Caenorhabditis elegans: one gene and its partner. The protein of the gene in region 2 interacts with the protein of the main gene of each other region in a pairwise test. Each region holds a gene or a part of one and is shown on either strand. Other genes may lie near its edges. The genes, in order: snr-5 and snr-4.

The links.
Region 1: the proteins of snr-4 (region 2) and snr-5 interact in binary tests that used the Caenorhabditis elegans proteins (3 or more experiments, as listed by UniProt).

Annotation. Positions count from the first base shown.
Region 1 is NC_003281.10:7,860,263-7,863,392, forward strand, and holds snr-5 (putative small nuclear ribonucleoprotein F), read left to right. Parts: upstream 1-1,807; 5' UTR 1,808-1,809; coding exon 1,810-1,906; intron 1,907-1,956; coding exon 1,957-2,059; intron 2,060-2,166; coding exon 2,167-2,224; 3' UTR 2,225-2,312; downstream 2,313-3,130. Other genes in the region: cuc-1 (Copper transport protein ATOX1), read right to left, coding at 343-470, 517-589, 669-677; putative transporter slc-17.3, read right to left, coding at 2,380-2,625, 2,678-2,831, 2,880-2,970, 3,015-3,130.
Region 2 is NC_003283.11:11,977,867-11,981,709, forward strand, and holds snr-4 (putative small nuclear ribonucleoprotein Sm D2), read right to left. Parts: upstream 1,858-3,843; 5' UTR 1,831-1,857; coding exon 1,823-1,830; intron 1,773-1,822; coding exon 1,599-1,772; intron 1,468-1,598; exon of another isoform or gene 1,447-1,467; intron 996-1,446; coding exon 821-995; 3' UTR 642-820; downstream 1-641. Other genes in the region: MIF-like protein mif-2, read right to left, coding at 321-389, 485-538; rpt-1 (26S proteasome regulatory subunit 7), read right to left, coding at 2,870-3,223, 3,437-3,843. UniProt on the Caenorhabditis elegans protein: Plays a role in pre-mRNA splicing as a core component of the spliceosomal U1, U2, U4 and U5 small nuclear ribonucleoproteins (snRNPs), the building blocks of the spliceosome.

The DNA of each region.
Region 1 (3,130 bases), on a different chromosome or scaffold from region 2:
AAGTAGAAATCAAGAGACGCGGAATAGTGAAATGAAAATGCGACGTTTACCTTTCTGAGAAGGACGGTTACACCGGATGTACGCGTCGACGCTTTAATCTAATAAGGATAAGGTTCAATGCATGAAAAGGTGTTTACATTTGAAACCTTCTATTTCGGTTAAAAGAACTCGAATGAAATATTGCATCAGAAAATCTATAGTTTAGAAAATGCGTTTATTTTTAGAATAGGACAATTTTACAAGCAAGAGTCATAAATTAATACAAAAATTACAGAAATGTCAAAAAATAACGATATTCACAACCATTCGGATAGAAATTAAAGAGACAATCAAAAGGGTCATTTATTGTAGTTGCTTGATCTCTTTTCCTGTTTTCTTCAGAGCTTCAAGTACATCAGATGCTGGTAAATCAGTTGTAACTGTGATTTTCTTGGTTTCCACGTTAATATCGTCAATTTTGATTTTGTCTTCTGTAGAATAATAGGATTAATTTGATTAACAAAAAGTAAACCAAACCTCCAAGCTTTCCTAGAACTTTTCGCGCAGCATTTGCACAGCCATTGCATGTCATGCCCATTTCGAAAACGTACTGAAAATGTTCAAATTATTTTTTTTTTCACAAATATGAGAATATTTAATTGTAATTTGTAAAAAGTTAAATAATTTACCTGTGTCATGATATTTGTTGAGTCAGAAATCTGGAAACTCTGCTTCTGCTTGCCTGAAAAACGTTAATTTGAATGATTGGAATTAGTACAGTCGAAAAGAAATGAACAAAGAGACGCAAAATGGAGAGACAGTGATAGGGCGACTCGTGGTCAATGCTTTATCTCTGAGAATTTGCATCATTCGACATTTTTTGATCAAGTTTTCAAGAAACTGCGATAATTAAAAAAGGAACTATTGAGATGGGACAACTCGAATGGTTTAAGCAACTTTTAAATGTTTTCCAGTTTTTTTTTTTACTTTTTGGAAAAATTTATGGAAAAATGAGAAAGAAGCTTAGAAACAGGATAAAGACACCAAATGACGTCACAGCTTTGCATTAATGCATCTTCTCTATTTTCTCGGCGTCTCACTCATCTTCTACTTTGAAACGAGCGTTTTTATGGGGTGAGAAAATTATCGATTTTAAGGGTGATCAGTTAAAGAGAAAAATAAAGACGATAACATTTTGATGGAGCCTGTTAAATGTTGTGAATTGGAAGAAATAGAGCCTTATATAAAGAACTGTTTTATCATCTACAGTAGTCCGAAAGCCATTTAGCAGGATATTCGAGGCTGAAGAGAAGTTAACTATATTTAGATAGCATAACTTATTAAAACTCAAAAAGTACAAGGACATTGAAAAAGCGGAAAATACAAATACTCAGTTTAAATTAACTAAAAAACCAAAACCCACATCTTTTTCATGCATGATGCATGGGTATGATTAATTTTATGTCGTCAAGTATGGTGTCGCATACGCAGTCTGCAGTATGTCGTATTATCTGATGCTAGCGCAACTTTCGAAAATTCAAGGTTCTTTTTTCATTTTTATGGAGGATTTCGCAGCGTTTTAACCTTTTTAAATGTGTTTTGTTGAGTTTATGTTTATTAAAACAACTTTGTCACTATTAGAAAATAGATACATCTTTCCATCTCACTGAAAAAACCGTCAGATGGGTTTTAAACTTCTTAAATTGTTCAAACATAACAATTGTGATTCGGAAACGCTTTGAATGTATTTTTATTGCTTAAATTACTTGTGTCCTTCACTATTTTCGATATCCCTCGTTTCAAAATATATTATTTAAAAATATTTCAGAAATGTCCGCAGTTCAACCAGTGAACCCAAAACCGTTCCTCAACAGTCTCACCGGAAAGTTTGTCGTTTGCAAACTGAAGTGGGGAATGGAGTACAAAGGTTTGTATTGACATAATGAAATATTTCACCAAAAGCGCCAAATGTTTAAGGTGTCCTTGTTGCTGTCGACTCCTACATGAATCTGCAGCTGGCTCACGCCGAGGAGTACATTGACGGAAACAGTCAAGGAAATCTCGGAGAGATTCTTATCCGGTTGGTGCATTTTTTAAAAGAAAAAATTCAAGCCGTAGAAACTAAAGTTATTACAATCTTATGCACATTTATATCGTAGTAAATCTTGAAAAATGTTCTAACTTTAGATGCAACAACGTTCTCTACGTGGGAGGCGTGGACGGAGAAAACGAGACGAGTGCCTAAATTCTTCAAACCCTTCTCAACAATTGATCTTATGTTCACAAGTTTTCTGTCTTTTTCGCACATTCTTAATCAATAAATTATAATTATCTTATTAAAGAAGTTTTTAAAATATTTATTAAATGAAAAAAAAAATCATCAGCAAATTATGTAAATTATCAAAGACACAGCGAATCCTCTTTCACCAACGTGGCGCTCATTTCATTTTTGACATCTACTTCTTCAACAACTACAATACCATTCTCAATTGTCTTCAGCTTCTCTTTCTCATTCATCTCCTGATCATCCTCAACTTTAGCCCAATCTTGTAATTCTCCTGATCCGAATAACAAGAATATTGAACCAGAGAAAATATGTGCCAGTGAGCATCCTATGAAGATATTCTGCCACTCCGCAGCGGTTCCCTAAGAATATGGATAGCAAGTAGATTTGTCAAAAATCTCTAAAATAGCTTACGTCTTTTCTGAACATGCTCATGACTGCAGGAGTTGTCAATCTACCAATCATTGCAACAAACATTGAAATTGCAGACATGGTTGCAGTATATTGTGGTGCCAAACTGAGTAGTGATGTGTAAAATCCACTCACAAATGTTCCCATTGAGCTATACCTGAAGACTTTAAATTTGGAAAAGTCGCTGAAAAGTATCGAAACTCACATTAAACAGAAGAAAATAAGGCCAGTTGTTGGATTAGAGCAATCGACAAAGAATGCAAGTAAAATAAGTGAGAAGGAACTCCCAAAACTTGCTGAAATAAATACTATTTCTGGAAACTTGCAAAAATCAACTGACCAACACCATGTGATACCTTTACAGCTTTAGTATTACTGAGAATCTTATTTTCTTTTAATTTATCTATTCCAATACCCCAAACAACTTTGAATATCATATTGAAGATGTTGGGAATT
Region 2 (3,843 bases):
TTTAAAGAGTACTGTAATTTTAAACTTCCCTTGCTGAGGAATTTTCATCAATTGTTCATAGTTTTTCGTTAAAAATATTTTCATTGAAAAACTTATTGTGAGAAAAACTATATAAAATCTTTAAGAATTCTGCAGAAACTCGAGTATAAAATTACAGTAATCTTTAAAGGCGCACACTTTCTCGCAACGAAAAAACTCGTCGTGTCGAGACCGGGAACCATATTTGTTTCTCTTAAAATACTTGTTTTTTTCTACAAATTTTCTCTAGACTGTTCAGTGTTTGTTGAGTCGTTTAGAAAATGTTTGATTAAAACACAAACCTCAAAATCAACAGGAACCTTCTCATTTGGTAGATTCGTCGCAACTCTGACCATCGGCATTTTTCGTTTCTGAAATTGATTTTTTGGAATATGGCAATAAATCACATTTCATGAAAAACGTGGAATATAGCGTTTTTATTCAAAAAATAACGACCAATAGTAACCTGAACTTTGAAGACGAAAGACGATGATATTCTGATAGCACTGACAGTCAACATCGACGAAAAATCGAAAAACCGGTTTCAAGTTCAAGCAACAATCACGCAGAACTACAAAAATCATCTGCCGCGAGGATACGGATTCAACTTCAGAAAAAAACACGACTGTGGTATTAAATAGGAACGTTTATCAATAAATAAAAAGTGGAAAATGATGATCATTGAAACGAAACAACAGGGTGAACGGGAGGGGGAAGAACAAGAGTGAAAATTTCGAAAATTGTAAGGTGTCATAACAAATACGAGAAAACCGTACTGATTGGGAGATTTTCTGAAGGTGAATTATTCAGCTTGTGCCAGTGGGTTTTTGACGACGAGAATGACGGAGTCTCCGCGGAGGAACATTTTTGAGATGAAACGATCTTTGGCGACAGACTTTGCCTTCTTCTTTCCCTTTCCAGTCTTTGGCACTTCAGTCCACATTTCCTTCACATTTTCGAGGACCATGTTGCAATGTCTGAAAAAGTAAAGAATTAGACTATACGTTCCAATTATTTTTATACGAACAATAGTAGAAAACTCCTCTTGGAATTTTGCATGCTTTGCGGGACACGAAAGTTACGGCAAATGAGAAAGTACTTATATTAGTGTAAGATTTGTGTTTTCCCTTTGGAAATCGTAGCAATACGTGTTTGAATAATTTGATGCCACGACAATTTGTTACAGCACAGGAGGATCGTGCCGTTTTATTAAATCTACCAGCCGTGGACCGCACCTCTGGCGCTGCCCCGACTTCTGGGGCTGAAAACTAATTTTTCTGAAACTACCATAATCATACAGTACTCCTACCGTACCACTATTGTACCACTACAGTACCCCGACTATATCCCTACACTAAGCCAAACCTTCACAGACTACAAACTATGGACAAACGGAATAAATGCATTATATATAGTAAATGATATTTTGCTACAGCATCGAGACGACAACCAAAATACGTTCACTATCGATGATTCAAATATTATTTTTGAAACACTTTTCTTTAAAAAATGTTGTCTGAAGTTTACTACCGACAAATACTTGTGAGTTTTTACTTAATAGTATTTCTAAGAAACCTAACCTGTCAAAAGCCTTAACTCTTCCGAGAAGCTTCTTGTTGTTTCTGCAATTGATGAGAACTTGATGATTGTTTTTGACTGAGTTGGTGAGGATGGAGAGTGGTCCGACATTGAATTCCTCGTCCTCCTTTGCAGCGAGTTCTTCAGCAGTCATCTCTGAACGGGGTTTGGCTTGGCTGTAAAAATAAATTTAAACTACTGGTCAATGAAAACAATGTGAACTCACGCCGACATGATCAAAGTTGATTTTGATAGAAGTCCCTGAAATTAAATTGGTTAGCTGAGAATCAATGATAATTTCATGTAAAAAATACCGATAAGAGTGAAGAATAAGGTATTGGGCGAGGTTTTCTAAATAATCATAAAGAGGAATTCGGAGGAACGAAACTTTACAGATCTTAAGAAAGTAGAAGAAAAATCAATTTTGAGATTTTTATTAGTTTTTATGCAGTTTTAATCGAAGGGAAGAGATTCGTTTCAAGAAAACAGAGAGACTCCGATAAACCGCGAGCGATTGCAATTCGAAAAAGACGACCGCAACGCACACGCGCCGCATTCCGAAGAATACAGAATGCAGAAAGCACCATTGTGCGCGAAAGCCGCGATTTGTCGGTTGCTGTGTTTTATAGGATCAGCTGAGTGAGCTGCTGAATTTAGCTTTGCGCTGGGGCGATAACGTGACCAATGAGGCTTTGCCGAGGTGCGTTTATTGCTGGTTGAAAACTTTTCCCAATTGCCCGCGATGTCCCCTGAAACATGGGTGGCATACGCAATTTTTGAACGCCTCTAGGAGGCAGAATATAAATACTGAACAGTTGAACATTTAGTTGGAAAACAGTATCCTTGGAGCATTCAGGGCGCTAGTCAACATTGTAGAGATGAAAAATATATTCCTAGGTAAAGTGTGCACAATATTAGTACCATTAAAATACGCTTGCCAATTTCTTCTATTCTTACTTTTTCTGGCATTACACCGTAATCGCGTTTAGATTACTACTCTTCTTATGAAAAGGTTTTATGGCACGTTTTCAGATTCATTTAAACTGGTGTATACAAGTTTTAATAGTCAGAAACCCAATCACATTTATCCATAAAATCGAAACGAATACATCTGACAGTGTTGGGCCAACTTGGGTGCATCTCACGACGATAGGATGTAATAAATAAGACAAAAATCGGAGACATGGGGAATCTGTACAAAAAAAAATGGGTGGACGGGCGAAAATAAGTTAATCGAGGACCGGAAAGAGAATGAAAACCGAATAGGGTACAATTAATTATGTGTCAGATATCTTGGAGTGGCGCTGAATTTGGCATATCCCTTGACAACCTTATTGATAGCTTCAAGGAAATCTTTTTCAGTTGCCACCTTTCTTCTAGCACGAATTGCAAACATTCCAGCTTCGGTGCAGACTGAGCGAATTTCGGCTCCTGTACTGTTTGGGCACAGACGAGCAAGTAAATCATAACGAATATCTCTTTCAACGCTCATTTGTTTTGCATGAATCTTGAGAATGTGAGCACGACCTGCAAGGTCTGGAAGAGCGAATTCGACTTTACGATCCAATCGACCAGGTCTCATGAGAGCGGGATCGAGAGTGTCCGGTCTGTTTGTTGCCATAAGCACCTGAAAATATCAAATTATTTTAATGAAACACTCATATTTACAATACATGTAAGCATTAATTTTTTGGAAACTTATCAAACGAAAAATGTGTGTCTTTTTTTTTGGATGAAAGGACTGAACTAATGATATAAACTGCCTTCAAGAAAGCAAGAGATAAATAAATTTATATTACAGATTTTTTTGGGTTATTTCCATAAAGAATTAAAGACAAACCTTGATGTTTCCACGTGGATCGAATCCGTCAAGTTGGTTAATCAACTCGAGCATAGTACGTTGAACTTCATTGTCACCTCCTTGTCCATCATCAAAACGAGCACCTCCAACAGCATCAATTTCATCAAAGAAGATAAGACATGCCTTCTTGGTACGAGCCATTTCGAACAACTCACGAACCATTCGAGCTCCTTCTCCGACATATTTCTGAACCAACTCTGATCCAATAACACGAATGAAGCAAGCATCTGTTCGATTGGCAACGGCACGAGCGCAAAGCGTCTTTCCTGTTCCTGGTGGACCGTAGAGCAAAACTCCTTTTGGTGGCTCGATTCCGAGATTAACGTAACGCTCGGGATGAAGAAGTGGAGTCTCGACAACTTCTCGAAGCTTTTCAATTTGATCCT